4 linked regions of the Notamacropus eugenii genome follow. The protein of the gene in region 3 interacts with the protein of the main gene of each other region in a biochemical or structural test. Links are inferred from orthologs where the notes say so. Each region holds a gene or a part of one and is shown on either strand. Other genes may lie near its edges.

Region 1 (7,601 bases), about 100 Mb from region 3:
GGGTGATTGAAGAGGATCAAAGGATCAATCAAAAGATCAAAGGAATGATGTGGTGGGAATAGATTGCCGAAGGCCTTGAATGCCAGGTGGAGTGGTAGAAAGAACTCTGTATTTGGAGCCAGAAGATGAGTTCAAATCCTGGACCAAATATTAGTTGTGTGACCTTGGCCTACTTACTTTATCTCTCTGGGTTTCAGTTTCCTTACTTGTAAAATGAGGGAATTGTATCCCAGTTGTTCTACCTGGCTCCTATGGTTCCTTCTTGTTACTCATCCTATTATTCCAGGACTTGAGGCTGTATATTACAGAGCAGCCACTCAGTCTCCATGAGGACAACCACGTGGACGATAACACTTGTGTGAACTACCACACCCAGGTGTGTCAGGAAAGGGCTTTGTCAACCTGAAAGCACTCTAAAAATGTGGACTATTACTTTTATTATTAAAGTGGAAGGTCAGGGGAGGGGAACAGAGGAAGTCTATGAAACCTTTAAGGGTAGGAGGAAGGAAAGCAGAAGTTTGTTCACCAGATCCCAGAGGGGTGAGGAAGACACTCTCACATCCTTCTTCCAAACACCCCTCTCTTCCAGACTTTCCTCTTTCTATCAAAGGCACCATCATTTTTCCAGTCTCTCAGGTTTGTAACCTTGACATCATCCTCAAGGCTTCACTTTCACTCAACTTGTACCTCCAACCAGCTGCCAAATCTTGCTCATTCTACTTCCATAGCATTTGTCATAGATGACCCATTCTCTCCATTTATGCATCTAACGCCTTAGTTCACACCCTCATCCCCTCTCACCTAGATGATTGCAATGGCCTCTTCACCGGTCTTCCTACCTCAGATCTCTTCCCATTCCAGTCCTTTCTCCACACTTTGACTAAAGGGATTTTCCTTGTGCACAGATCTGACCATGCCAATCCTCTGCTCCTTTAACTCCAGTGACTCCCTATTGCTTTAGAGTCAAATAAATACTCCTCTAGTTTTGAAAGCCCTTCACAACTTGGCCCCAACCTGTCTTTTTCAGCCTCCCTTCACATGTCTCCCCTCCAGCACTCCACAAGTTAGCCAAATTGGTCTCCTCTTTGTTCTTCACATACCACACTCCATCCCCTATCTACGTGCCTTTGCATTGGTCTTCCCACCCCCTTCTCCCTAGGCCTAGAATTTACTCCTTCCTCACCTCTGCTTCATAGACTCCTTCTCCTCCATTGTTGTTATTCAGTCATGTCCAATTCTACATCATCCCATGGACTTTTGAACGTGATATTTTCTTGGCAAAGATACTGGACTGTTTTGCCACTCCCTTCTCCATTGCACCTTCATTTTACAGATGAGGAACTGAGGCAAATAGGAGTTAAGTGGCTTGCCCAGAATCACAGAGCTAGTAAGTGTCTGAGGCCAGATTTAAACTCAGATCTAACTGACTCCAAGCTCTATCCATTGTGCTGCCTAGCTGCCCCCTTTCCTCCTTGAAGAGACAGCAAAGCTGCCACCTTGCATGTGAAGCCTTTCCTGATCATACCTAACTGCCAGGGCTACTTTGTATTTACTTGTATTTACACAAGTAAATACAGGTTTTTGTATAGATTTATTTGTATTCCTTTACTTTATATTCATTTTTATATATTTATACAGATCCTAGCCTTCCCTATGAGAATGTAAGCTCTTTTCAAGTAGGGAGCGTCACCTCTGTTATACTGGTATTCTTGGCACAGTGCCTTGTACACAACAGTCACTTCGTAAATTCTTGTTGATTGATTGGTGATGCTCAAGAAGTTTAGATTCATTCAGAACATACTCAGGGAAACCCTTCCTCACACAAGGGCTATGGAGTTTGTTACCCCCAACTGATGTCATAATAGGGAATGTAAGATGAGATTTAGATCCCAGGTCATAGATCTAGAAAGATAACTAAAGGTATGGAATGCAATGGGGAGAAAATCCCGGACTCAGAGGTCTGAGACAGAACCAGAATGAGATGGACAAATGGAGTTTTTCCCTAGGACATGGGCATCGAAAGATGCATTCTCCCTGCTGTCACTGAGTCCTCATGCTTCCCCTACTGTTCTTCTGAGGCCACTCTGCTGCTGGACCTGACAGCGCTCATAGTAGGTTTATCCTCTTCTATACTTTACCTCTTCCCCCACAGTTGAACATAGCCAAGTACAGTTTTGGCTACTTACACATCTCGTCAAGGACTGGTTGAGTTCTGAATCTGCCACTAATTAGCTGTGTGACTTTAGGTAAGTCACATCTCTGGGACTCAGTTTTTCCATCTGTAAAATGAGGACATTGCACCTAGATGTAGAGCTGGAAGAGACCTTACAGCCCGTCTAGTCAGACACCCTTATTTTTCAGATGGAGGAAATGTGACCCAGAGAAATTGAATGACTTTCCCAAGATCGTATAGGTGGTTACAGCAAAGCCAGGATTTGAATCCAGGTCTTCTGACTCAAATGAACTCCTAAGGTCCCATCAGCACCTGACATTTAGCTTTTTAAGAGGAACTGGGATGTATGGGGGCATATTCCTAAATTTTAAGGTCTCTCTGAACCCTTTCTCAGAAAATCCCTTATTCAGAGACAGAATATGAAGCTGGAAAGCCTGTATATATTATCTTAGGTGACATGTTTAAATGTTCTTAAAGCTTTTTTAAAAAAGAACAATGAAAGAAGAAGAGATTGAATCTTAGAATGCAAGAAAGCATAGCTGAAAATTACCTTGGAAATAGAATACATCTCCCCTATTGCACAGATGGGAAAAGTGAGACCCAGAGAAGAGAGTTGATACATGACCAGCAACTGATAGAGCTAGATCTAGAAGCTACCTCTTGTCTCTTAGGTCAGTCCTTTTTCCAATATACTACAGCAGGAAGACTCAAGTTAACGTGAGAGTGAGGGAGACCCTGGGTCATTGAGAGGTAAGGAGGACAAGCCACAGTGTGGTGGAAAGAGCACTAGGCATAGATGAACTTGTTCATAATGAGCTGGGTGACCTCAGCTCCTTCTCCCAACCTTGGTTTCTTCCTTGTCTATAAAATGGAAGACTAGATGACCTTGAAGATCTGCCTTTCAGCTTGACTACTCTAGCTGCTAATATCCATTCCAGTTCTGCCATTCTATGTCCTAAGGACTCTTCTAACCTTGGCATTATGTGATTCTGTGACATTTATAACAAATCTTGTTACCACGAACATCTACTTCAGGATTGCCTATATTCTGCATGACTAGGTGGTACACTGGACAGAGTGATAGACTTGAAGTGAGGAACTCCTGAGTTCAAATCCAGCTTATGAGCTGTGTGAACCCGGAAGTCACTTAACCTCTTTGTAACTCAGTTTTTCCCATCTGCCAAATGGGGATAATAATAGCACTCACTTCCCAGGATTGTTGTAAGGATCAAATGATTTAGTAGCCATAAAGTACTTTTCAAGTCCTAAAATACTATTTAAATGCTAGCTATTATTATTTGACTTTGTAATATTATTTTGGTTTTTTGAGGCAGTCGGGATTAAGTGGCTTGCCCAGGGTCTGCTTATCGAATGCTAATCCATCAGCAAGTATTTATTAAGCACCCACTATGTGCCCAGCTCAGACAAGTACAAAGAGTAAAACTGGCCTATTGTCGTTGAGCTTACTGAGCTAATGGAGGGGACAGCTAGCACATGTTAAAATATATGTTGATTAGAAGTCAATGCACCAGAAAGTTTGATCATTTGAGAAACCAGTGAGGTAGAGCACTGGTCTTTGAGTCAGGGGACCAGGGTTCATATCCTGGCCCAGGCATTAGCTGTGTGAATATGAAAAGTCATCTGAAGTCTTCTTGACTCCAGATGGTAATGATAATGATAATAATAATATTTAAATAAACCTATAGAAATATGAGTTATTGCCATAAGTTAGCCCAACCTTAACAGATGAGGAAACTGAGTCAGAGGGAGGTTCACAATGCTCCATTTTGAAGGAACCTCAGAGGTCATCTTGTCCAACTAAGATTTGGGGAAGGTGCAATCTGCCCAAGATGACACAGGTCATAGGTACCAGAAGTGGTGTTTGAACCTGGGTCCTTTGAATGCACAGCCAGTGTTCTTTCTGTGGTATCACTCTGGGAGGTAACTTGTGCAGCATCACATCGCTAGTAAATGACAGAGATGAAGACTGAACTCGGGTCTAATGACTGCCAGTTTTGGGCTGTTTGTCCTGTGCCATGCTGAGTGTCAGGAAGCAGAAAATTAGACTGATGAGCTGGGGGCTGTCATTAGCACAGGGGATGTCAGCCTCAGCCCCCAATCCAAAAGCCAACCTAGACATGATGGCTCCCATAAGAAAGGGAAAAACCCCAGGCAAGCCTAACCCAACCTTAGCTTGCCCAGCCCCATGATGTCTACCAGAGGGTAAGAAGATTAAAGATTAACCCCTACCCCTCCCTAGTCTCTTGCCTCCACCCCTCAGGAAAGGCTAGGCCCAGAGCTCTGTAAATCCTCTCAGAGAAATGTTTGAAATCTAGGAGGACAGATAGAGGGATTGGGGCAGAGGCAGAGGGGGAAGAGAGGCAGGGTGGGAGGCCAAAGTGGCCCAATAGGAAGTGGGCCTGTTTCTGGTCAGGCGGCCTAACGAGAGGGAACTGGCCACTCTGGACAGGCAGGAGAGAATGCGTCTCTCCAAAGCCCTTGTCGACATGGAGATGGCCGATTACAGTGCTGCCTTGGACCCAGCCTACACTACTCTGGAATTTGAGAATGTGCAGGTGTTGACCATGGGCACTGGTAAGTCTGCCTGGAGGGGCTCTTAGGGGAGCAGGGGCAGGTGGTGTGCCCAAATGTGGACAACCACATACAGATGTATAAAGAAAGATGTGTTATCTTGTACAAATACAAAGAGGTGTATATACTGAGGTTCTCCATGACTCTGCCAAGGCCTGGAACTATATGTACAGGTGTGTGTGTGTGTGTGTGTATGTGTGTGTGTGTGTGTGTGTGTGTGTGTGTGTGTGTGTGTGTGTGTGTGTGTGTGTGTACGTACGTGTGCCCATGCAGAGGTGTATGTGCAGAGGTCAGCTGGACTGGGTTGTTTCCCCTCGCTAGTCCTCATTTTCCTCAAATGTAAAATGACGAAGTTGAATCAGATCATCTCTAAGGTTTTTCTTCCAGCTCTAATAGTCCGTGATCTACATGGAGATATATATATACAGGTGCCTGGTTAGAAACCTTTATGGGACATGGAGTATACTGGCAATCTTGATTGCGTCTTCACTTTACTGAGTCCACTAGGCCAGGGCTTTGCCTTGCCTGGCTTCCTTCTAGTCCTTGCTAAAATCCTTTTGCCGAAAGTCTTTCCCAATCCTTCTTAATTCTGGTACTTTCCCTCTATTGATTGTTTTCAAATTATCCTGCAATATTTTGATCTATGTAGTTGTTTGCATGCTATCTCCCCCATTAGATTGAAATGAGAGACTGTCTTTTGCCTTTTTTTGTATCCTTGGTGCTTTGCATGGTGCTTGGCACATAGTAGGTGCTTAATAAATACTTATTGGCTGATTGATTGATTTAGTTGGTATCAGGGGCCTCTTGTCTCTGAGAGTGGATTGAGACACCAGGTCTATAGCTCCTACATTCCCCAGTTTGGAGGAAGGTGGAGCAATAAGGAAAGAAACCCAGGGACTTAGGGGGACAGGAAAGTGTATTCTAAGAGAAGGCAGATGGGGGAAGGGGGAGCCAGTATATCACGAGGTGCCCCAGGTTAACCATTGGAGAGAAACTAGGAGAAAGATTTTTTGGCAAAGTGGTTTCAAGATATAAGAAGTCACTTGGGCATTGTGTGTATATAGAGATCTGTATATGTGTCTCATATTTGCATATGCACGAGTTCTATTTTTAAATTCATTTGTATGTATGCTTATGACATTGCTGCTATGTATAAGTCAGGCTACAAATCTGTCTGTGTTGGCATATGAATCCAGATCTCTGGGTGCCTATGTTGCTGTTCCACATATATGCTCACATATATGTACAGGCATACACATACAGACTTTGGACTATGTGGAAGAATTGTTGGCTTTGGAATCACAGAATCTAGTTTGAAATCTTGGCCCTGCCAATTACTATCTGTGTGACCTTGGGGGAGTCACTTTTCTCTTTGGCCTCAGTTTCTTTATCTGTAAAATGAATAGGGTCAGACTAGATGACCACCAACCTCCCATCCAACACTAGATAGAAAAGCCCAGATGCTTTTAAACTTGCATAGACATATAAACTGAGCCCTCCAAGAAGTGTTTGCTGATCCTGGGATCAGAGATAATCAAATATTCCTTCTAGCCCCACACTGGCCCAAGGAAAATAAAGCCTGAAGCTGAAGCTGGAAGGTGATGGGACCATGAAGCAAAAAGTTCCAAGGCCACAGTAGCTTAATGATCTCCTTTACAGTGATCTCTAAGAAAACTTGGTAACTGTGCAGTCCAAAGCTGGAGACAAGTATGGAGACAGGGAAGCAGCTTAGATTCAGGCAAAGAGCCCAGGACTGGTCCCAAATCTGCTACTAACTGGCTGTGTAACTATGGGCAAGTCCCTTTCCTTTTACTGGGCTGTTGTTTTCTCCTCTGTGAAATGGGGATAAAGAATGGCACCCCCATTATTCCCCCTCTCCCAAGGGAGATATTGGTGATCCTATGATCAGCAAAACAGAGAAAGAGAAACCTGTTGGAATGACTAAGAGCACAAACTGGCCCTGCACAACCATTCCATCTCCTAATGAGAACACACCGCTGGCTGTGGCCCAAGGTCTGGTCGTTGCCCGGGTCTGTGAGGAAGGTACTTTACAAATTGTTGAGCATGGTAAGAAAGTGTTCTACTACTATTACTAAGGATGCCCAGGCTTTGGGGTGAGCTGTTAACCTTGAGTGTCCAAGCCTCAATCATTCAAGGTTAGTCACTTAATCTTTTTGTGTGGACCCCTTTTGCAGTCTGGTGAAGCTTATGTACTCCTTCTTGGAATGTTTTTCTTTTTAAAATTTATAATGGAAGGAAATGTCAAATTTCAGTTAGGGGTTAGTGAAAATAAAGATGATTTTTCCCCCCATCCAAGTTCTTATGGACCCTCTGGAGATCTGGGGCCTTTCCTGCAGGTTCTTAGGTCCACAAGAAGCCCTTTCCTGGGGATTCCTAGGAAGCCTTTGCTTCCTTCCTCTAGGAATGGGTAGGGATGCTGCTAACCGAGGCCAGACTCTGGCTGACTGGGTTCTACAGGCTTTACAGTATATAAAGCACATTCCTCCCAGAAGCTTGGGAATGCAAGTAATTATCATCTCCTTTGTATAGTTTAAGAAACAGCCTCAGTGACTAGCTTTAGGTCATTCCACAGGAAGAAGACTCAGACCCAGGTCTTTTGACCCCCAAGTCCAATGTCTTATTCATTGCCTTGATGCTTCCCCCAGAGCAGTAATGACAAGCTTCTCCTATGCCTCCACTTCCGGTGGCTTCTGTATGTTTCCTACAAGGACAGTCGAGAGGCAGCTAACAAGCTAGGGTCAGGGTCAAGAGGCTGGGCTCCCCAGCAGCCTAGGTCATAGGAGTTCAGATTGTTATAGTATCTTCCTCAAGAACC
Region 2 (7,760 bases), on a different chromosome or scaffold from region 3:
GTTACTTGGGCTCCTATTTAATCCCTGAGGTGCCTGGCTCTGTGGTCAGGGGTGACTCAATTCACCAGTTTCCTCATTTGTAAATTAGGGAAGGCATCCCTGCCTCACAAAGCTTTTGTGGGGTTCTAGTGAGATAATGTGCATCAAAGTGCTTCACAGATCATAAAACATTGTAGAAATGTTGGCTCTTGTTAGAAGGATTCTGGGAGGAGGAAGGAGAATTATCCAGGAATGTCATTTTGGTGTCTGTATCCCTAGCACCTAGCACAGGGCCTCCCACACAAGAGATACTTGGTAATGTTTGCTAGATGGATGGGTGGGTGGGTGGATGTGAGGAATGGGATGCATGAGTGTCCCGCAGGTGGGATGTGAATTGAGGGAACATCTGGAGGCCCCTTCAGCTGGAACATAGAGGACTGAAAGGCAGTACAGTGAGATAAGACTGGAAAGGTCGTCAGGAGCCAGGCCATGACGGGTGGTCAAGAATGCCAGCCTGAGTCATTTTTGTTTCACAGAGCCAACAGGGAACCTCTGAAGGTTTATGAGCAGGGAACATCATTGTCCAACTATGCCATAGAAGATTTATTTTGCAGCTTTGTGGGCGATGGATTAGAGGGGAAGGACTGGAAATGGGGAAAACAATGAGGACATTCCAGGCAGGAGACAATAAAGGCCTCCTTTCCTTCCTTCCCTCTTTTCTTCTTCCCTCCCTACTCTCTCCCTCCTTGCTTGCTCCCTCCCTTCTCCCTTCCTTCCTTCCTTTCTTCCTTCCTTTTTCCCTCCCTCCTCCCTTATTCCTTCTTCCCTCTCTCTCTCTCCATTCTTGCTCCCTCCCTTTCTTTCTTCCTTCCTTCCTCCCTCCCTTCTTCCTTCCTTTTCCCCTTTTCCTTCTTTCCATCTTCCTTTTTTCCTTTTTTCTTCTTTTCTCCTTTCCTTCCTTCTTTCCTTTTTTTTCCTTTGTTTTCTTCTTTCCTTTTTTCTCTTTTCTTTCTTTTTTCTTTACTTCTTTCCTTTCTTTTTTCCTTCCCTCATTCCTTCTTTCCTCTCTTCCTCCTTTTCTTCTTTCTCTCTTTCCTTTCTTCTTTCCAAAACTACTTATTAAAGTTCCTTCTGTGTTGGAAGCCCTGTAATCAGTTTTGTATTCCCTCATTTCAAGAGTCAGTAAAACAAAATGAATTCCCAAAAGAGTGGTTTGAATTTGACACACATAAACTTTCCACCACCTTTTTTTTCTTGTCTTCTTTCTTTCCTTATATTATTAGACTAAATGCTGGTACCTTTGTTTGTTTTGACACAAAAGACTCATTAGAGGAAAATAATGTTTTTCCCTCCATCCTCAGAGAATGTTACTATTGAGTTTTCTTAGTAAAGCAGGTGTAGTTTGTGTACAGGCTTCTGCCTTTTGGATTCCTCCTAAATTCATCTGAAGAAGTAGGAGAGACCAAGGCAGAGGACCTTTTGACAACAAGTCAAGGGTTAGCATTACTTCACTGCTACTTGTCCTTCCCTGATATTTCTCCCTCCAGGGTCTGCGCAGCCATTTCCAGTGGCTCTTCCTTTTCATGGGGAGCCGTCCCTTCTCCTGGAAGCTTTCTGTTTCTGTTTCCAGTGATCTACGCTTAGGTCAAAACCCTGAGCTTCCCCCCTGCCTGGCCCTTCCTCCTATAGGTCATTCACACCCCTGCCCAGAAGGGCCAACATGAGACCCCAGAAAGAGCCCTGTCCTTGAAATCAGAAAACCAGGGTTCAAGGCCAAGCTCTGCCCCTTAGGAGCTGTGGGATCCAGACCAAGTGACTCATCCTCTCAGATGTGCTGTCTCAAGTCCACTAGGGGTAAATCAGAATCAGCCCACAGAACCAGTGTGAGAAAAGGGGTTTCTAAACTTTCAAGGAGAGACAGAGACAGAATCTAAAAGTATATATATTATATATGTGTGTATGTTCATATTTACACACACATGTAGATTTGGTCTGTTCCTAGGTTGTCACTGGTTTAAGGAATTGATTTTACCAAAGCAGATTGGTAACTGGCAACCTAGAGCCATGGAGATTTGACTGGAGGTCTGAGCAGCTGGGACTTGCCCAGCCATACAAGTCAGTACTTGAACTAAGGTCTTCCGGAGTTTAAGGCTAGCTCTTTGTGGCACACTTTTATACATACATGTATATGAGCATGTGTATAACATGCATATACATGTGTGTTCGTGTGTATTGTATCTGTATGAGTATGTGTGGGGTTTGCATGTAAATGTGTGGTTATATACATATATGATTATAGTAAGTAATGTATGTTACATAGTAAGTACATTGTGTGAAATGTATTTATGGATACATTATAGGGATATAAATAGGTTGTGCATATTATATATGTATACAGATGCAATAATTTCCTCTTCTGTAAAGTAGGGAATAATGATTACATCTACCTCACAGAATTATTGTAAGGATCAAGTAAGATAATGTACAGAAAGCACTTTGCTAATAATTTTAAAGTACCATCTATTTTTAAAAAGTCCTCATTTATTTATTTTGAACATTCTTTTCTTTTTAAACTTTGAGTGTTCCAAATTCTCCCCCTCCCCCCACCTCTTCCACACCCACTGAGAAGGTAAGCGATATGATATCAATCATACATGTGAAATCATGCAAAACATATTTCCATATTAGCCACCTTTCAAGCAAGAAAAATAAAGAAAGTGAGAAAATTATCCTGCAGCTTGCACTCAGAGTTCATCCGTTCTTTCTCTGGAGGTGGATAGCATTATTTCATCGTGAGCAATTTGGAATTGTCTTGTATTATTTTATTGATCAGAGTAGCCAAGTCTGTCACAGTTGATCATCATTACAACACTACTGTTACTGTGTACAATGATCTCCTGGTTCTTCTCACTTCACATCAGTTCATTTAGATCTTCATGTTGGGTTTTTTTTCTGACACCACCCCCCTCATCATTTCTGATGGCACAATAATACTCCATCACAATCATATACCATTCCCCCATTGATGGGTATCCCCTGAATTTCCAAGTCTTTGCTACCACAAAAAGAGATGCTATAATATTTTTATACATATAGATCCTTTTCCTTGTTCTTTGATCTCTTTGGGATACAGACCTAGAAGTTGTATTACTGGGCCAAAAGGTATGCACAGTCTTATAGCCCTTTGAGCCTAGTCCAAGTTGTTTTCCAGAGTGGTTGGGCAAGTTCACAACTCTACAAATGGTTCATTAGCATACCTATTTTTCCCGTCATCTCTTCCAGCATTTGTCATTTCTGATAGGTGTAGATGCTACCTCAGAGTTGTTTTAATTTGCATTTGTCTAATCAATAGTGATTTTAGAACAATTTTTTATGTGATTGTATATAACTTCTGAAAACTCCCCTCTCAGTGGCCATTTATCAGTTGGACTCTTTTTTTATAAATTTGACTCGGTTCCATACTCAGAATACATTTGAGAAATTATTACAGAAATTTGCTTTAAAAATTTTTGATAGTGCTTTATTGTCTATGGTATCTTTTAGCAAAATGTAATGTCCTGGATTATCTCTTTTAGTTAGGTCTATTTTTGCTTTGGTTTTGGTTGAGGACTTGATTACTATCCGCACAACGTTTTTTACTCCAGCTGAAGCATACTAGATTCTGCTCCAGACCTTTATTTAATTCTGTGTGTGACTTTCTGTTTCAAGTGTGTCTCTTATAAACAACATATTATTGAATTCTGGTTTCTAATCCATTCCACTGTATGCTTCCATTTTATGGGTGAGCTCATCCCAGACTCATTCACAGTTGTCGTTACTAACAGTCTATTTCACTCCATCCTATAATCCTCTCTTCTTCCCCCTCCCTCTCATTCTCTCCTCTCTCCCCTTTCTCCCCTCTCTCTGTCCCGTTTCTCCTCAAATTCTTATTTTGCTTCTAACAACTGCCTCCCTTAATGCACCCTCCCCTTTATCAAACCACCTCTTTCTCTTATTCCCTAATCGTCCTGTTTCCCTGTTGAGTAAGTTACATTTCTATATACAACTCAGTGTCTATGTACATATGTATATATATGTATATGCATGTATTTACATATATGTGAGGGGTGAGGGGTGTGTATACGTGTGTCTGTGTGTACACATTTTCTTCATTCTTTCAACCAGTTCTAATGAGTGAAGATCAAGCATTGCTTGCCACTACCATCCGTTTTCCCCCTCCATTGTAAAAGCTCTTCCTTGTACGCCTCTTTTATGTGAGAAAATTTTCCCCATTCTACCTCTCCTTACCCCCTTTTCCCAGTACATCCCTGTTTCTCCCTCCTTAATTTTTTTTGGAGTTCATCCCAAGTAATCAACTCACACCCATGCCCTCAGTTTATTGTAAACTCCTTTCAACTGCTCTAGGCATTACAAAGTTCTTAGGAGTTACAAGTATCATCTTTCCATATAACAATTTAAACAGTTTAACTTTATGGAGTCCCTTATGATGACTCTTTCATGTTTACCTTTTTATACTTCTCTTAAGTGTCAAATTTTCTCTTCAGTTCTGATGTTTTCATCAGTAATGCTTGAATGTCTTTTATTTCATTAAATATGTGTGTGTGTATGTATGTATTTGTCTATTTATTTTTCTCCTGAAGGATTACACTCAGTTTTTCTGGGCAGGTGATTCTTGGTAGTAACCCTATCTTCCTTATTCCAAGCCCTCCACTCCTTTAACATGAAAGCCATTAAATCTTGTATGACCCTGACTGTGACTCCACGATATTTGAATTGTTTATTTCTGACTGCTTGAAACATTTTTTCTCATTGACCTGGAAGCTCTGGAAATGGGTTTAATATTTCTGGGAGTTTTCATTTGGGAATCTTTCAGGCGATGAAAGGTGGATTCTTTCACTCTCTATTTTACCCTCTTGAAGAGAGCTCCTGAAATTGTTGCAGCAGCGGCTACTGTTGCCACTACTGTGTGTGTAGGCTCCAACACGGGACTCCACCCTAGTGACAGACTTCTCCTGCCAACCTCTTAAGTTTTCTTAGGCTGGAAAAATGTCTCACTCCGACTTTTTATTGGCTCTGCTGCACCAAAATTTGATTTCAAGTGCTATTTTTTAAAGTTGTTTGGAGGAGAATGTGGGGAGAATTCACCTCGGTGGTTGCCCCCAATCTGCCATCTTGGCTCCACTCCTTTAAAGTGCCATCTTGATGTGAGCTGTTATTATTCATTTCCTCCTGAGTATAAAGTAGGTTAGTGAATGGCAGCCCCTCAGGTCAATCTATAATCCTGTCAAAGTTGACCAGCCCCAAGTTGGTCCTTAGATACTCTAGGATCCATCTTGTATCAAGATAAAAGACTCCTCACATGGGCTCTGTTATATCACAGACTGGTTCACTACCTTACTACCTCCACTGAAAGGTGGATTCTTTCACTCTCTATTTTACCCTCTTGAAGAGAGCTCCTGAAATTGTTGCAGCAGCGGCTACTGTTGCCAGTACCAATGAGAAACCATAACCAGGTGTGTTCCTTGTGAGTGTACACTACATCTCTTTAGAAAATGGATAGCCACTGCTTTCTCCATGTGACTGTAAGCTTTGCTCTACTCTATAGTAATAGGGTTCCCTTAGCATTCTGTTCAACCATAATGCAAGTATCTCCCTTTGGTCAGAGTAGAATTGGCTGAGAAAGTGAAAAGAGATGAATCAAATCCATTCCTGCACAGACATTGCCATGTGCCAAAGGACTCCACAGAGCAGCTATTACCCTACATCTCAATCTTCCTTCCAATGCCACTTTCCCAAACCCTTCCCCTTCCATGTTGGATGATGAGCAATCTACTTATTACTACCTCTTCTGGAGGGAATCCAGAGCCCCTCATTCACTCTGACCCTCAGACCCACTCCTACCCTCCCAAGGGTTGTAGGCCTGGCTTTGCTGCTTACTCTGAGCAGAGAGTCACCAGTTACACTCCTTCCAGTAAGGTGGAAAAATCACTTTGCCTTACCATCTTCCCTGCCCCTGGCTTCCAAAGAACTCCCATTTGTCTCCTGATTTGAGGTGAGCTCTTTGAAATCAGGGACCGTCTTACTTTTCTATTTGTATCTCCAGTACATAGCTGTATTTCACACATAGTAAGTGCACCAGGCCTTACCATATAGGCATCTAGATGGCCCAGTGGATAGGACACTGAGTCTGGAATCAGGAAGACATGAGTTCAAATCCAGCCTCAGACATTTACTAGCTGTGAGACCCTTCACAATCACTTAACTGCCTTTTGCTTCAATTTCCTCATCTGTAAAATGGGGATAATAACAGCACCTCCCTCCCAGGGGTGTTGTGAGAATCGAATGAGGTAATGATTGTAAAGTGCTTCACACAGTACCTGTCACAGAGTAAGCACCATATAAGTGTCAACTCATTATTATTACCCAGATTACACTCTGGCCCTTCAGTACTTGCCATTTGCCCTGAAAAGACACCCTCCAGGCCCCTACACACCACCATCTGACTTGGCAACAAACCCTCAGGACTCCTGGCCTTTCGTATCTATCTTGTTGATACCTGCTAATGAGCACCAGACCTTGTGTCTGAACTCTCCTTGACATGTTGTGTCCCACAATTAGAAGGTGATCTCCTTGAGAACAAAGATTGTCTCACTTTTCTGTATGAATCCCCAATGCTTAGCATAGGAAAAATGCTTTATAAATGCCTTTTTGCTCATTTATTCATTATTTTATCCTTAAATCTATAAACACCATCACAAGTAGCTGCCAGGAAATGTCCCCTTTCCAGAGCCATGGGGCCCTTGGCTCCTGGCCCTGTGATGTCCCCTTCTCTTCTAAGGGACCCCCCAGGAGTCCAGAAGGATCTGCAGGAATCCACAGTTGGCCATCCCTCCCATCAGCATGGACAGGGTGGGATAGGGCCATGGCTCATTCCAGGCTCGGAACGTCCTCCAGACAGACAGAGAGAAGGGGCTGGAACGACAAGGGAAGAGGCCACAGTCGCGGGCCTTGCTCCAGAACTACCCTTGGCCAGTTCTCTTTTTTAGAAGGCAGAGAAAACACACTTGACAGCAGGCACTTTGTGCTGCCCCAACAGGTTAATCCTGACCTTTTCAATGCACATTTTTACCAGCCATTAACAGCATGCTATTTTCTGCTCAGCTGTCTCCTAAAAAGCTTTAATTCATCACATTAGACAGTGGGCACCTACTCTTTCTCCTATCCATGTGGTCCTGCCCAGCTTGCCCAGCTCTTGTCATTTTATCAGATTTATTCTTTTTCTCTTTGACAGTTGGGCAGCACTGAGGGAATGAAAGTTTAAATGAGTTTTAATATAGCCAGATAAATAGCAACTGGAGTATGTGTGTTGGACTTCGAGTTGGGAGGATCTGAGTTCAAATCCAGCCTGAACCACTTGCTGATTGTGTGACTCTGGGCAAATGACTTTCGTCTCTCTCAGCCTCAGTTTCCTCATCTGTGAAGTGGAGGCAATAATAGCACCCACCTTCCCAGGGTTGTAAGGATTAAATGAAATACCCTAGGTATTTCCTTTCTAGAAAGGAAAGGGTGATATTAAAAGCTGAGGCAACAGCCATTGGTGAGAAGTTATTGTGATGAAGTCAGGATAGCTAAGTAAGGATTTATAAAGGAAAACTAAAGAGCAAAGGCCAGCAATCACAAGAAGGGAGCAAAGGGCCCCACAGAGCAGCTACTACCCTACATCTCAATTTTCTTGCCAATGCCTCTTTCCTGAACCCTTCCCCCTCCAAGTTGGATGCTGA
Region 3 (8,321 bases):
GCTTTGCAGCTATAAGGGATGATTTGCCTGGGCTCCTTGGGAATACTCCCTGGCTATATGCACCTCTCACCTCCCTGGTATCCTGCAGGTCCTGGTGAATGTGCTGACTATGAACAGAAATCTGAGTGACAGCCTGTCCCTAGGGCGTCTCCACCCTGAGCTCCAATCCAACATCCTTCAGGTGGACAGTGAGTACAGGGAGAAGGGCAGGCTGGTGGGGTCCTGATTCTGGAACCTAGGTGGGTCACATTAACAGCAAGTACAACCCCCAGGTGCCTCCTGGAGAAGGGGACTTTTAGGCTTTGCTTTCCTTTGTTGCCTCAGAACACCCCCCCCCACACACACACACATACCGCCTCTCTTATCCCCCCCAACCCTACCCCCTACCTGCAGGAACACCTTCTGGGAATTTATGAGAACATTGGAGGGATTATGGGACTCTTGAGTTTGTATCCCTATTCATTAACAGTGTTGCTGGCACATCGTAAGTGCTTAATAAATGCTTGTTAATTGACTCATTACTTATTCTCCCCTTGTCCTGGATGCTTAGTCAACTTTGCTGAGATAATAATCCTTTATGTACTCAGGGTTCTTTATGAGGAAGAAAACTAAAGACAGGAGTTGTTATCATCATCGTTCATTATTTAGAGGCACAATTTCTCAGAACACTTCTTAAAAATTTTGAATTGATATATTTTATTTTTGTTTTGGGTTCATTTCCAATTATATCCTTTTCCCCTCCCCAGACAGCTTGTAGACAAGATAATGGGTACAGGTAGGGACTGAACTTGTGATTTCATTGGTATAGGGAACTCTTGGGTGAGAAAATTTCCTTCTCTTCTACTTTTTGTCTTAGAGAGTTATCTAGGACACAGGTGTCACACTCAGGACTAGTGGGTCACATGTAGCCCTCAATACTTCTGAGTACTCCAAAATCAGATCACAATGTCATTGGGAAATGTTTGACAAAATAAATAAAAATGCAATCGAGCACATATAGTGTTCACATATGGCTTTCAAAGTCAACATGCTAGGTGATGCAGTGCTAGACCTGGAGTCAGGAAGACTCATCTTCCTGAATTCAAACCTGGCCTCAGACACTTACTAGCTTTATGACCCTGAGCAATTCACTTTAACCCTATTTGCCTCAATTTCCTCATCTGCAAAATGAGCTGAACAAGGAAATGGCAAACTACCCCAGTATCTTTGCCAAGAGAACCCCAAATGGGGTCTATGAAAGGGCTGGACAAGACTGAAAACGACTGAACCACTTGCTGTACCTTCCTCCAGGTTGTTACGGGGAGGAAAGGGCTTTGTAAACTTGAAAAGGCTAAAAAGACAGTATTGTCTTTTAAATTGATGTTATTTGTGAATATAAAAGATTAAAGGTCAAGTTCATCTACAAATCAGTTAAAAGCCTTGAGTCTTCTCCCTCCAGTTCTCTATGGGTGGTCTTTCTTTCCTGAGGTAGGCATTTCCTCTCTTCTCAGGGTTTAGAGCCCTCAAGGGCTGGGAAGGGGTGGGGGGAATACCCCATAAACCAATTTAGGTCTAGAGGGCCCTCCTGGCCAGCTTCTGTGAAGAGCTTTAAGCCAGGGCTGGCCAAATGAAGGCAGGCAGTTGGCAGAATTGCTGTTTGTAAAGTTTGTCCCAGACACCAACAGCTACCCCTTTTCTCTGCCCTTTTCCCACCTCAGTGGTGGCCCTTCTCTCTCAACCTCCCTTCTGACCCCCCAGTGCCCTCTTGCCTCCCACCTACCCAAAGACTGCTCTTGGGAAGTGCTTTGAGATCTAAGATAATAATTATTTAGCCACTTCCTCCTTTCTGGGCCTTAGGTTCCCTACCTTTAAAATAAGGAAGGTTGGACTAGACTCCCCTTCTAATACTAATTTATATATGACAGTAGTCATGTGACTTTAGGCCAATCCCTTCACCTCCCAAGGTCTCATTCCCTTCATCCTTATTTTCCCGTTGGCCTGGACTAATTCTATAGCATTGTAGTTGGTCTCCCAGCCTCAAGCCCATCTCTTTTCTGGTCTATCCTTCATATAACTGTCAAAGAAATATTTCCAAAAGACCTCAGTAAGTGCTTGATTGATTGATCTGTAAAATGGAGAAGTAGGACTAATGCTAGTGACTGATAACTCCATAATAAACTAGTTGTGTGGCACTGGGCAAGTCCCACAGTTAAGCTGTCCGGGATTGTTTCCCGTGTAAAATGTGAGGATTAGAGTAGATGATCTCTACAATCCCTTCCTACTCGGACAGTTTATAATTTTCCCATGGGAATTTATTCCATCAATCTGATCTCTGGAGAATGTTGGGATTTGTCCCTATTAAGGGATAAATGGGAGGACTGGAGAGAAATTTGGGAAGTAATGGAGATTTTTCTAGGGGTGCTGAAATTGTTTGTCTACATCTTGCCCTGGACAGACAAGCTTGTCTAGTCCTGAAAAATAAATCATCTTGGCCAGTGCTTGTGGGTTTATATGAGTTTACTGAACACCCAGAAGAGAGTTCTGTACACAGGAGATACTTAATAAATGTTTGAATTGATTTTGTTGCATGTGATTTCTTTCAGGTGAATTCACAGAGGAAGAGGTTGAGTTCCTGGAGGCTAGGGGCCATCGGGTTGAGAAGGTAGACGTTCTGTCCTGGGTCCATGGAGGTCGGAGAACCAACAATTTCATCATTGGGGTGAAGGATCCTCGAAGCCCTGATGGAGCGGGTGCCACCATCTTGTAGGGCTGGGTGGGTGGGGCAGGGGCAGGCGCTGCAGCACAAATACCCCTTTGCATGTTCCAAGAGCCCCTTGGAGCCCTGCCTCCCCCTGGGCAAGGGAGGGAGGGAGGAGGGACAGGCACAGAGTGGGTCTGAAGACCAGAGGTTCCCAGTTGGTGCCTTCGAGCTCTGCCCAGGGCCTGGGGACCAGAGGAGATTTATATCAAACCCAATTCCAGAATAATTGACAAATTCCACAGTTGATGGGTGTGGTGGCCTGACAGACCTCAGGCAAGAAGACTAGAAGAATGGTTCTGCCTCCTTCCAATACTTCCTACTCCTGAGAGGCTTAGGGAAATGCTTGCTTAAAAACAAAACAAAAACTCCCCAAAAAAACCCCACCCAGGTGGCCCGAATCATCCTTCCTTCCCACCAACCCTTGACATCTTTCCCCATCCCTCTCCCCTGTCTCATTTCTTAAATGACTTTTTTTTTAACTGACCATCCAGAAGCAAGGGGCCCTCTTTCTCCTTCTCTCTGTCCCAGAAGTAGTAAGGGTCTGAGGGAGAGGTGCAGGGAGAAGGGGCCACATAAGGGTGGGAGGGAGGGAGGGTGGGTAACAGCTCAGGGGCTTCCACTTCCCAAGAGGAATTAAAGAGAAAGTTGCTTAAGAAATCTCTTCTCTGGCTTGGTCTGTTAGCTGGTCTCCAGGTCAAAGTTGGGACAGATGGCTGAATTTTTGGGAGAGCGAAGTCTCCTCACTTAGACTTCTAATAGGAGCACTTTAGGCTGTCTGCAACCTTGGAGGCCATTTAGACCATCTCTCTACCTCTGGGCAATGTCACCCCTAACTCAGTCCATAAACAATGCCAGTCCCATGAAGTTCACCAAGAAGGACCCTAGGGAGGAAAAATGAATCTTCTCAACCTCTCTTTAATTTTCCTTAGTCTCTTAGGCTGTTCCTGGAAATAGGGTGGAGTAGGGCATGCCATCCAGCACTTTTTTCCTTATAGCTCATTGAGTATTAATGCTGGAAACTTTGACCCTCTAGTTGTACAGAGATGGAAATTTAGGCCCAGAGAAAGGAGAGCACATGCCCAGGTCTTCAACCTTGATTTGACAGAGATGGTACTCAAAGCACAGAATCCAAGAGTTGAAAGGAACCCCAAAGGTCATCCAGTCTGACTGAGAACTGAACGGAAATTCCTTCTTCAACAACCCTGAAAGGTGGAGCTCTCCATGTTAACAAGATTTTATTGACCCCTAAATCTCCTTCCCTGTAACTTTCACCCGCCATTGCTCCTACTTTTCTCTGCAGCCAAAAGGACAAAGCTACCTCTTCCACGTGACAGCTCTTCACATGCCTGAAGACACTGACCATGCTTCCCCTAAGTCCTTTCTTCTCGTGGTTAAGCCATCTGAGTTCCTTCCACTTGTGCGCTCTTGTCCACCTAGGCCTCCTGACTCCCTTCCAGGAGATGCACAGCCCTGCTCTCAGGTGTCAGCAGGGGCCGTTCCTGCTGGGCCCCCAGCCGCCCCAAGTCACCGAGATGACCTCTCTCTCCCTAATTTCAGTTCTGTCTCTAGCTTCTCACCGGGCCACTCTCAAGTCCTGGGATCCCGCGACCCTACTTAGATATCCCACTAGTCCCCCAAAGTGAACACTGGGAGGGAATGGAGACCACCCAGTCTCCTAGAGGTGAAGGCACTTGGGCCAGTCATTCAGAATGTAAGAGCCAGAGCTGAGGACGCAAAGCCTAGGAGCGAGACTTTGGGCCGGTTCTGTCCCTGCCTCCTCGGGGCCAGGGGCAGAGGGTCCAGGTTCGGAAGAACCAACCAGCAGGCAGAAGAACGAGACCGATTCCTGGCTACCCTTTCCTTAAGAGGGCAAACCAGATGGGGCGCAGTCCACGCAGCTGGGGATTGCGAAAAGATGGGGGTTACTGTGGGCTCCGGACTGTGGGGAGTCGGGGAATGCGCAGTCCGGAGAACCTGGAGATCAAGGGTTCAGCGCTGCCAAGGAGTAACTTGGGGCTCAGGAAAGAAAAACTGCCGAAGATCGGGGAGGAAAAAATCCGAGGTTCATCCAGGAGGGACCAGGGCGCGGTGGGGTGGGGCGGGCCCGGGCGCGCCTGCGTGCGGCCGCCCCGAGCTCCCGGGGACGTTCGCTCCGGTCACGTGCGCGAGGCCCCCGCCTGCCCGGCCCCGCCCCGCTCCTCCCCCTCCCTCTCCCCCTCCCCTCCCCCTCCCGGGCCCCGGTCCCCTCCCCTCCCCCTCCCCGCCGGGTCTGAGGCCGCTGCCGGGTCCGGGAGTCCCGGTGTCCCGCTGTCCGGCTCTCCGGGCCGCGGGGACGGACAGAGCGGCGCTCGCAGGCCACGGGCCAGAGTGGGCCGCCGTCGGAGGCCCCTGGCAGGGCCGCAGGTGAGGCAGAGGCTGGAGCTCGGGCCGGGTCCGGGGGGGTGGGGTGGGACTGGACGGGACGCGAATGGGACCAGCCTTGTCCCTGGTCCCGGGAAAATGGCGCCGCCGCGCGGGGCGGATGACAGACCCGGCCCGGCCGGGAGCCGCCGCCCGCCCGCCGCCAGCCACCGGGCTCGCTCGTGTCCCCGCCGCCGCCGCCATGTTGGGGAGCTGGCCCCGGCCTGCGGGGAGCCGGGGCTGGGGGGGGGGGGGCCGGGGCCCGGCCTGCGGCGGTGCGGGGTGGCCTCGCCGCGGTGCCCGAGCCCGAGCTCCGCCTCCCAACCCCCCAGCGGGGCCAGGGGAGGCAGGTGTCCAAGCCCCGGCCCGGGCGGGCGTGCAGGGCAGGCCCACCTCATTGTGTGCCCGGGTTACCGGGCCGGGTGTGTGTGCGCGAGTGTGCCCCGGGGGGAGGGCAGGAAGGACACGGGAAGGCCACTGAGGCAGAGCCCGGGCTGGGGACTTTGACAGCGGGAGTCGCAAAGGAACAAGCTTCTCCCTCCCAGGGGCTTCACGGTGCCTGAAGGTGGGGATAAGGAAGGAAGCCTCGGGATGGCCGGGGCCTGGCCGTGTTGTGTGTACGAAACAGCCGTGGCATTGTGTGGGGGTAATGACCCAGGGCACTCTCCAGGGGAGGACCCGAATAGGGGTCACACAGGGAGGTCACCCGTGGGGGCTGAGGAAGCGGTGTAGACCCAGCGATGTGGAGCCCGTGGTTGGGAGTCGGGACTAACGCCAGTGTGGGCAGCCCACCACGAGCCCGCTGAGCTTCGTGCGCTTTAAACGCGGACTCTGGTTGTCTGGAGCCCCGTGCGGGGCGCTGTCCTCAGAGCGCTTGAAATCGAGCCTCCGAGGCTTACAGCTGCACAGAGACTTTTGGGACACCTGGTGTAGGGACATACAGAAGAAATACAAAGAAACCGGGGAGGGAAGGATCGGGCCGTCGGGAAAGGTTGAGGAGCAGGTCTTGATCGCTGCTTCTTGAGGGAAGGGAGGCTTGTCTTCCAGGCAGGGGGGATGGCCGGTACAGAGACACAGGTGGCCAGTGGAGGTGCCATGGAGGAAGAACAGATATTCAGTTTGTAGATTGGGAAGGGGAGTAATGTATAACAAGGTTGGAGAGATAGATTGGGGCCGGGTTGTGAAGGGTTTTAAAAGCCAGAGAGAGAAGTTATTGGTGTAATAATTAATAAGGAGCAATTGAGAGGTTTTGAATGGATGAATGACCTGATTCTTAAACTCTGTGCCTTAGGAAAATTTATCTGTTGTGTGAAGCAACATGAATGGTGTTGGAAAGACCTTGGACTGTAGGTGCTAGTTCAAGCTCGGCCACTACTTATGTGATTTAGGATGTCAGTTTGTTTCATCTAGGTCTCAGTTTCCTCATTTGCAAACTTGGAGGATTGGAGTAATGATCTCTGCTGAAATTTTATTAACTCCCTTTCCCCAGAATCACTTTTTCTTTTCTTGCCCTTTTATTCTTTCACTAAAAAGAACTTTCTCAGCCCTTTCAATTTCCTCATAATCTCTCTCCTTCCCTCCAGTCGCTGAAGTAAAGTATTCTGACTAAGGCTAATTCTTTTTACCTAATCTCATTTCTTCCTTTGAAGACCTTACTTAAAGAAGTCAACCCCTCTGAGTCACTCATCTCTTCTGTCTCTGCTCCACTGGAACCTTCTCATCAGTTTACAGATGTGTTCATTTTGACACATCCACTTTTATTTAGCTACTATCCTGTCTTTTTCCCTTATGCTGCTAAACGTCTTGAAAAAAATTGTCTCTCCCAGATGCCTACACACCCTCTTTTTGGTTCCCTTCTATCTACTGAAACTTTCCTCTCTAGGATCACCATTACAATCACCAAATCCAGTGCTTTCCAAACCCCTTGACTTGTCAATGTCTTTTGACACTGTTGACCGGCCTCTTCTATTCAATACTCTTCTCTATTGGCTTCAGAGACCATACTCCAGAGATTTTCTTACCTTTTGATGTGCCCTTCAGTATGTCCTCAACTTGGTCTCAATCCCATAATGACGAAGGGCGAACACACGTGATTTTTCCATTGACAAATGAACATTCATTTCCACGACTTCAACTACTTCCTCTATGCAGACAACTCCAAAATTCTCTCCAATTCTGACCTCTAGATCTGCATTTCCAGTGACCTACAAGAAAGCTTCACCTAGATGTCCTTTTGGCACCTCAATCTAACATGTTAAAACCAGGTTTATTTCTTTTCTTTGGGCTCTCCTCCTGCCTCCCCTATTTTTGTCTGATTCACCACCATTTACTGTGCCTCTTATATTCAAAACTTTGGGGTTGTTAGTCTTTACTTTTCCTCATATCTCATATCCAAGTAGGTACCAAGTATTTTGCCAGTTCCTCTGCAACATCTCATTCATCCATTCTCTCCTCATTCTTTCCAATGATACCACCATAGTACAGGTCCTCATTTCTATTCACTAGTTCTATTTTAGGGACCTTTCTACCTTCTCAAATCCATCCTTCATATTACTGCCAGGGTATGATTTCTTATGTATAGATCAGGTTGCTCTTCTGCTCAAAAAACTTCAATGGTTCTTTATTACCTATCAAGTAAAGTTCAGATTTCTTTGCCAGGAGTTCTAAGTATTCTACAGTTTGGGGCTTTCTACATTTTAAGCCTTGTTTCTTTTTCTTTCCCTTTGCTCACAATGCTTAAAACAAACTATATTACTCAAACACAGATAGTCCTCATTATCCTCATCTGTTGAATCATCAGTAGTCCTTTAGTTCTCAACTCATTTGTCACCTCTTCCATTAAATTTTTCCTGATCAGTAACAATTTTCAGATCTCACACCATTTTTTGTACCATTCTAACTCACATTTATCCCAGCACATTAAGATTTGCAAAGTGCTTTACATATATTATCTCATTCGATCCTCATAACAACACTGAACTAGGTACTGTTATTATCCCCATTTTACAAATGAGAAAACTAAGGCAGATGGACTTGCTCAGAGTCACACAACTAATAAATAAGATAGGATTTGATTTGGGAATGGTCTCCCCTACTTCAAGTCTAGTTTACTAACCTTTATACCAGGCTGCCTCTCCTTTGGGGAGATGTAAAATTTCTCACTCTCATCATTTAAAAATTC
Region 4 (8,259 bases), on a different chromosome or scaffold from region 3:
AGGGTCAATCTCAATAAAATAAGGAGTTTTAAGAGCCTGGAATAAATCCCAATGGGAGTGATATTCCAGTGTCAGTGGCCTAGCTCCTAACCCTTTCCCTGGAGTGCTAATTCCCATAGACGTTAGGATGGGGTGGGGTATAGGAGACACCAATACTCTTACCTACTAAGCTTTAGAATTGAATAGGGAGCCCTGGAAAGCCAAAAAGACAGGAATCCTCATTGACATTAGGAAACCCCAATAGTTCCTAGAGCTCCCCTTATTTAGGTCCTGTATCTAGGCTTAGCTTAGCCAGGTAGAGAGGCCTGGTTGAACAGAAGCACCCTTCCCCACCCCCATTCCCCAAACCCTGGTGGCCACAGCTGTGCTTTTCTCTTGGTAAGGAAATCCAGGATGTCCTGAGAAGCCAGCAGAGCCCCTTCCACCCCCCACCCCCACCCCAACCTCCTGCTGACCCCTGGGGAGGCAGCAGGGAAAAGCTCACTATTAGCAACCAGAGAAATATGAAGGATGTCCTAGCTAGTCCCTAGCTCTAGGACAGAAGATTATAATGCTGAGACATGCAAAGACTGGGAGACACTCAAAAGAAAGTGACAGGAGAAAAGAAATATAGAGCTTAAAAGAGAAAGAGACCAGACAGAGAGATAAACAGATAAAAGGACAAAAACACACATAAAAACACAGCAATTTGAACAGAAGGACAGAAGGTAACATCTAAACGGATAGTAAAAAAACATCTAGTTGAGGTTATGGGGAGGCTTTGGGGTAAGCAGGAAAGATTCAGGCAAATGAGTTCCCCAAGACACTTTTAGGGTGGGGAAGTGGGAGGCAGAGAGTTAAGTCTGATTCCCCTAAAGACAACCTTGCTGCCCCCAGTTGTCAAGGCAGCTTAGGCAGGGTTATTGTCTGGGGCTATTGTCTCAGTCCTCAGAAACCCCTTACCTCCCCTCTCTCACGAAAATTTCTCTTCCTAATCTCCTTTAAAATTGTCCATGCCCTTAGAGGAGGGAGACACAGGAAAAAGCATGAGACAGAGAAAGAATGTGTGCATTTGTGTCTGTGAATGCCTGCATGTGTGACACAGTAAATCTGCTACTCTTATCATTCAATCAACAAATACTTACAGAGCAGCTATTATACAGGAAACATTGGGATAAATGCTGTTGGGTATAAATGGGTACAAAATAATACTATCCTTGCCCTAAAGGGATTTACAATCTAAATACAGAGTTGTTCTTAACCTTTTTCAGTGTCATGGAACCCTTTGTCAACCTGGTGATGCTTATCCACCCTTCTCAGAATGTTGTTTTTAAATGTATAAGATTATAAAAAGAAACTATCTATATTGAAATAAGCTTCTAAAAAAAACAAAACAAAAAAAATATGGCCCATAGGTTAAGAATCCTTGGAGTAAGAGAGTATGTATATTACTATATATGTGCATTTGTCTGACATAGCTTTTATTCTTGGGGGCAATCTTCTCTCCTCAGTTACAATGTAAACTCCTTGAGGAGAGGGCCTGTCTTTTGCCTCTTTTTGTATCCTTTTCGATTAGCAGAGTGCCTGGCACCTGGGAAGCAATTAATAAATATTTATAGATTGATTAAACTCCTTGAAGGCAAGAATGTATCTATTCTTGGTATCTCTCTCAATGAAAAGCAAGGCAGTGGTGCCTGGACACTAGGTCCTCCATAAATACAGTATCTGTTTGTCGGTTGTGACTGCACCTGGGACTATGTATAGCGATGTCTGTGTATAGGAGTCTGTATGTGGGTATGTGCCCGTGTCTGTCTGCCTGTCCTTGGGTCCCCCTGTGGGTGTGTCCATCTCAGCGTGTGCACTTGCTCACGAGTGTTCGGTCTTCCTGGCCCAGTGTGGGTGTGTCTATCACCCTCCTGTCCTTGACGCCCCGCGTCCCCGTGTCAGCGCCTATCCCGGTGTGTCTGGCTTTCACCGCCTCCCCCTACCCTTCACCTCCCGGACAAGCCCCCCTTCCTCCTCCCGTCAGCCAGCTTCTGCCAGGTCAGGGCTCCCGGAGTACTACCAACCGCGCCTCGCTCCTCCTCCCTCACCCTCCCTTCAAACTCTGACCCCGCCACCCCTTAGGCCTTTTCCCCATCCAGAAGAGGGGGAAACCCCATCTGCCAGGGGCTCGAGGGACACGTTGCAAGCCCCTCAGCTCCCTCCCTGTTGGTCTCGCACTTCCCCAAGTGGCCTGGAGCATGCAACTCTCCGGGCGCTTCCCGGGGACCCCGGAGTTCTCCTACCAACTCCTCTTTTTTCTTCCCCCAGCCGCGTTTTTGCATTTGGGAGTGTTGCAACTGGAGGGCCATGCAGCCCCATGTGAAGGGGCTGGGGCGGTCCTCGAGCCCCGGGGAGGCTGCAACCCCCCCCCCCCCCCACTCCCGCCGGAGGAAGCTTTGCAAAAGCAGCTCGGCCCCGGCAGTCGGGAGGGCGGAGGGTGGGGGGAGAAACAGGCCGCCCGAACCGTAAACAAACCGCGGCGGCGGCGGCGGCTGGCGGGGGAACAGGGGCCGCCTGGCAGCCGGGGCCGCGGCTCCGACAATGCGTAGCAGACGGGACCGGGAGAGGCCGGGGACCCGCGGGGCGGCGGAGGCGGGGTGTGGGGGGCGAGGCCCGGACGCCATCTGCCCCTGCAGCACCACCGCCCCCCTCCTGGCCACCAACCCGCTGCAACCGTCCCGTCCCCCTCCCCCGCCAGCCGAGTCCTCCATTTACTCCGGGGAGTTGGTAAGTTGCAAGCACCCCAGCACTGACAGTGTCACCCAGGGGCTGGCTGTGCAGGCAGCGGGTCCCCAGGGACGCCCCCAGCCGGGACTAGGACCCCAGCCAGCGAGCGTCCGGTGGCTTTGCATAATCAATCGCAATGTATTTGCATATTAATACCCCCTCCCCCTCCCCCTTACCTCGGCGTGGCGGGCTGGGCTGTGCGTGGGGAGGGGTGGCGGGTGGCTCAGCGCCGGGGCCCGGGGGTGGCCATGGGGGACCGGTGGGGCCGGGGCCGCCCGCCTCCTGTCCCCGGGTGTGAGTGCGAGTGAGAGAGGGGGAGGGGGGCAAGTGTGGCGGCCCCGCGGCTCCTCCGGCAGAGGCGGCGGCCGTGCTAGCTCCTCCCTCCCCCGCCCCGCTCCGCTCGGGCTCGGGCTCGGGCTCGGGCTCGGGCTCCAGGCTCCGCGCCGCCCGGGCCTGGCTCACTGCTGCTCCCTGCAGGCCGAGCCTAGCAGCCCGGCGGCCTCCCCTCCCAGCCCGGGCCATCCCGGCCAGGTCGGCTGTGCCGAGCCCGGCCCGGCCCCGCCCCTATCTCCTCTCACCTTCTTCATCTTACTCGGACCGAGTGCGCTATGCCCTCAGTCCATTCACGCCTGGCGGGTCCCCCCTCGCCCCATCCTATCCCACGCCGGCTCACTCACAAGTGCCCATCCCTGCCGGATCGCTCCCTCGGGAATCGCTCGCTTCTCGCTAATTTGCTCTCTGACGCTCGCTCCCACCCGACGCTTCTCCCGGTCCCACTCTGAGCCCTCCTTCTTTCGCTAGGCTCCCTCCTGGAGGCCACTTCTTGTCCCCAGCCATGTTTCTGAAGACCCTCCGCAGCCCAGGAGGGAGGATGCCGTCGGTTAGTCAGTCCACAAGCATTGGCTCAGGGAGTACTATGAAGCCAGGCACTGTGCTCGGCTCTGGTGATGTAGAGAAAAGTAAAAACACGGCCCCTTTGGTCAAAAGGAAGAGACCTGGAAAGGACTATGTACCTGCAGGATACATGCAGAGGTCTCTCCCGTCCTGCTCTTATATCTCATCGTGATGCTGGGAGAATTTTGATTTTTTTTTTTCAACGGGGTGGAGAACCGAACTGGAATCCAGAACCTAGAACCCAGAATCCTTTGTGTATATGCAAATTGTAGGAGTCATCCAAAAAGAGACCTCTCCAATGTGTCAGGTCCCCCACCCCCACCCCACCCCACACACCTTCCTATGCATACACATACAGCTGTATTCATGGACATTAAACCAACCCAGAGACGCCAAAGCCCTTTTCATCTTGGGATCTTCCAGGTTGGGCAAAGCTCTAATTACCCCAGCCCCCCACTCTGGCCCTGCCGGTTCCCCTGCTGTCATTAGCCCAGTTTTACCAGCGGAGGCCATTGCCTTCCCACGGGCTCCCCAGGGTGGGGCCCCTCTTCCCCTGCTCCCTTCTCATGAGGAGGTGGGGATGAAGTTTGGTCGATCACATTTGGAAAATTTGTCTGACTAACAACAGCCTGAGTTGATTAGATTGTCCAAACCTCTCCTTTTTAGAGGTAATTCTCTCATGGTAGGTCGTCCCTGGGGGCTTGTCTTCCAAGAAGGTTTGCCCTTCAGATCTCTCATGGGATCAAGAGGAGGAAGAGGAGACACTCTTTGGAATGCAGTGATCATAACATCACAGTTTCAGAGCTGGAAATGGTCTCTGAGATCATCTAGACCAACCCTTTGTAGAAACTACTCTGGACTTACATCTTCATTTTACTGATGAGGAAAGTGAGGTCAAGAGAGTTCAAGTGACTTGCCCAAGATCACACAGAGAGTCAGGATCTTAAACTGAGGTCATCTGATGACAAATCTATAGCTTTTTCTTATTCTTCTTATTCAACCCGCTGCCTCTCATAGTGAGGATGGGAGAGATTTCACCATCTTAGCTTAATAGTGAATATGGATTTTCCTATCCCTCCATCTTCCCTTGTACTGTGAGGTGTGTTTGTCCTCCATTGCCGCAGAAGACCATGCCATCAGAGAAATAATGACCTGACTTGCACTTGACTTTGTTTTGAGTGAGGGAGGGCTGTGCAGGTCACTAGCCTTACTTCTCCTCCAGAACTATCTGAATCCAGTGACCAGATATTCATCAGGATCACTAGAGATGACCCAGGATGAGGCAATTGGGGTTAAGTGACTTGCTCAAGGTCACACAGCTAATGAGTGTCAAGTGTGTGAGGTGAGATTAGAACTCAGCTCCTCCTGACTCCTGCACTGGTGCTTTATCCACTGCACCACCTAGCTGCCCCTGTACTCTGAGGTGGTGGAAAGGAAGAGAAGGGAGAAGGGAATAGGAGACTATAGTATATTAAGGATAGGAGAGACAGGAAAAGGAACCTGAGAAAGGGTGGTCTAAGGAACAGCCTGTTCTCTGGCTATTGTTGACAAAAGCTGTATCCAAACACCTCCTCTTTCCCTCTTTCTGTTATTATGGTGTACCCCCACAATTTCTCCCTCTCCTATTCCCCTATCAATAGGGATTCTAGATAGTTATCTCCCTAAGAAGACCTCTGCCTAAGAGCCAACACCTCATACAACTCCATGCCCCTGTAATCATTTCATATCCTAGTGACAGGTGGGGGATACTGGCCATCAACTAGCCAGTTGTGGAAATAAGCTCTCTGTCTCCCCCACCCCCAGCACTCCCCTAGCCTAAAGAGAGTTGGTACCAGCAGATGAAATGTGAAGGAAACTCTCCAAGCTGTCTTGGCATTACCTCACTGCTTGACAGACCTCTGAGCACTGGGGAGGAGGAAAAGGAGAGCAGGGGAAACTGAGGTACAGATGGTTGATGAAATCAGGAATATAGGTATTTTTCTTATCAGGAATATTTATTTTTCAGAAAGGAGATTGGTTATTGGGATCCTAGGAAAAGGAAAGAAGAGAAGTGTATGGTGGAGGTAGGGATGGGCTGTTGGGGGCAAGGGGAGGGAGGAAATAGATTTGGTAGACTTGGAGGAATAAGGGACTGGGAAAGGCAGACAGTTGGGAAATTATCCAGCAATTACCCTGATAAGTACTAAGGAGGCCACTTAAGTCCCCCACAATAATTACTCATGTTTTCTCCCCAATCTCTGATTTCCCTTTACCCCACTTGGGCACTCAAAAGACAGGAAAGGGAATTTGGGGGAGGACTATGGGAAAAGACTTAATAAGAAAGCTCAACACAGGACAGGCGAAAGAATGACCTTATATATAAAACAAGAGGGAGGTTGAAGAGGTTTGACCTCTGCCCTCCACCAAACCAGATTTTTCTGGGTTATCTCCAAGTGAGACAAACATGGATCCCAAATTCTCTCTCGGATTCCAACCTTCGGTATGAACTCTCTCCTCTTCTCATAAATGTCTGCCAAATTTCATTTACACCAAACTCATTACAATCCCCCTGCACACTTATTAACTATTAATTATTCCCACCTTTAACCTCTAGATTAAAGGTCATACCTTAAGTCTAGAAGAAGGGTGATGATGATGACACACTTTGTCTAGGAGAGGGTTGGTCCTTTGCAATCAGAATATGGGGCAAGGAGATGGAAAAAGGGATAATATGGCAGAGGGAACAATTATCAAGACCTGGGTACATGTGGCTCCTTTCTGTGTCTAGGTGCCAAGGTCATGTGGCTGATTTTTCTCTTCCTGATAAAGGGAACATGTTGGGTGAGTGAGGATAGGAGATTATCTCAGGAATTCTGGTGACTGAGACAAGGTGAAGCTGCTCTAAGGTCTGGGTTCAATTTTTCCTTTTCAGCACCTTGGATAGTTTCTATCTTTCACTTCTTTTTTCTCCTGGCTGGTGGGAGGAATTGGCCATACCCATTTCTTTTGGGGAGTTATAGAGATGGGACAGGCACAAATGAAGAGAAACAAAGAAAGTGAAAATCCCCTCCCAGGGGTGAATGAAGGGAATTCTTGGCTTCCCTTAGAAATTGATCCTTGTAAAGAAGCACAGAGCTATGGACATCCTCCTCTCTGAATATAGAGAAAGGAAGATATAGGCTAGGAGTTAGGGGTGGGAATGGAAGGCAGTCACTTCTGAGGTGAGCTAGACCTAGTGTTAGCTATTTGTGTGTGTGTCTTTGTGTGTGTGTGGGGGGCACTTTGCTGAACTTCTCTTTCCCACATCTGTTGCCAGTTGACTCCCCTCAGTTGGCACCTGGGCATATTTTCAGGAAGCAGTGCTATAATAGTGGCATCTAGCCTAGAGCCTTGGTCTCCCTTTGAAAGAAAATAGGTGGATATCTCTTAGGTGCCCTACTCCAAGAAGTTCTTTGACATTCCTGTGCCATGTAACAAACAGAATTTCTATCACTGTCTTCCTGACACCCTTTCCTAGTTGGGCGGTGAAACTTCCTCAACCAATATTCCCTGACTCCTCATTGACCTTTCCCAGACTCCTTTCCAAATTCTCTGCAGCTGCACCAGATGTTGCCATGTCATTTTTTCTTCATGGGCTTTTCCCTGGTATGGGTAGAAATTGGCCCTTTCTTCAATACTCAGGGCCTTTCTTCCCTTGGTTCTGTCTAACTCTGGAAGTGAAGGAGGAAAGGGGAATGGGTCTAAGAAACAGTAGCTTAGGTTCCTTGTTATGAGTGAATTTGTAAGAAAGGATGGGGGGAGGTGGAGTAGTGGGGTAACAATGAGGTTGAATTAATATTGGAAGAGAACTTTTGGCAGCTCGAATGTGTTTGACTACGGCTTTCATGATGACAACCATGAAGACCCAGTCCTCTCATCATATCATAAATATCATATCATAAATAAATAATGATGTGGCAGTCCTATCCTTACAGTGGGCTTGGCCAGGTGGGAAGTTGGAGTTGTCCTGGCAGGGGAAGACTGTCTCTGAGTTCAAGAGAAGAAAGCAGCTGGCTAAAGAGAGTCAAGGGTTTCCAAAGAAATTGTTCAGGGAAGAAGATATTGAAACAAAAACTGGAATAGAGATAGACTGGAACTGTAGTCTAACCCCAAGGAAAATCTTCCCTTTCCTGATCTTTGAGACAGAGAATTGGTGTGGGAGGAGGGAAAGTGGGAGGAAGAAGGAGGGAACTATAGAGGATGTCTTCTAGTCTGGAACTGGAAATGGGGAAAAGGGAGGCCCCAGAGACAGTTATCCAGAACTCTTTGCCAGAAGGGGAGGGTCTAAACTCTGAATGCTGACATCCTCATCCCCCAAATATTCTTCTCTCCCACTATGGGCTCCACTGTCTGAGTGGCTGGCTCTACAGTCCTCAAATGTTTCCTAACCATTGGTGAGATTAGGTAGAGAAGGGGCAATTGAGAGGAGTTACAGCTCAGTGAGGGACATATTGAAGGAATAAGATCAAAGCTTTACAGATAATGAGGGGATATTAAAGGAGGGGGGAAGTGAGGAAAGAAAGATAGGTAAAGAGAGGAAAGAGAGAGAGAGAGAGATGGTCACAGTAAGGTATAGGGTAGGGGGTTCAAGGCAAA

The links.
Region 1: the proteins of NCOA6 (region 3) and HNF4A form a complex in vitro, tested with the Homo sapiens proteins (2 studies listed by BioGRID). The link is inferred for Notamacropus eugenii from reciprocal best matches to the Homo sapiens genes NCOA6 and HNF4A.
Region 2: the proteins of NCOA6 (region 3) and THRB form a complex in vitro, tested with the Homo sapiens proteins (2 studies listed by BioGRID). The link is inferred for Notamacropus eugenii from reciprocal best matches to the Homo sapiens genes NCOA6 and THRB.
Region 4: the proteins of NCOA6 (region 3) and THRA form a complex in vitro, tested with the Homo sapiens proteins (2 studies listed by BioGRID). The link is inferred for Notamacropus eugenii from reciprocal best matches to the Homo sapiens genes NCOA6 and THRA.

The regions. Positions count from the first base shown.
Region 1 is NC_092872.1:520,746,838-520,754,438, forward strand, and holds the start of HNF4A (hepatocyte nuclear factor 4-alpha), read left to right. Parts: upstream 1-4,490; 5' UTR 4,491-4,653; coding exon 4,654-4,768; intron 4,769-7,601. UniProt on the Homo sapiens protein: Transcriptional regulator which controls the expression of hepatic genes during the transition of endodermal cells to hepatic progenitor cells, facilitating the recruitment of RNA pol II to the promoters of target genes. Activates the transcription of CYP2C38.
Region 2 is NC_092874.1:30,392,821-30,400,580, forward strand, and holds the start of THRB (thyroid hormone receptor beta), read left to right. Parts: upstream 1-4,540; 5' UTR 4,541-7,760.
Region 3 is NC_092872.1:418,876,634-418,884,954, reverse strand, and holds the start of NCOA6 (nuclear receptor coactivator 6), read left to right. Parts: upstream 1-5,007; 5' UTR 5,008-5,143; intron 5,144-8,321. Other genes in the region: GGT7 (glutathione hydrolase 7), read left to right, coding at 89-188, 2,583-2,746. UniProt on the Homo sapiens protein: Nuclear receptor coactivator that directly binds nuclear receptors and stimulates the transcriptional activities in a hormone-dependent fashion. Coactivates expression in an agonist- and AF2-dependent manner.
Region 4 is NC_092873.1:355,631,290-355,639,548, reverse strand, and holds the start of THRA (thyroid hormone receptor alpha), read right to left. Parts: upstream 3,153-8,259; 5' UTR 2,928-3,152; intron 2,752-2,927; exon of another isoform or gene 2,638-2,751; intron 1-2,637.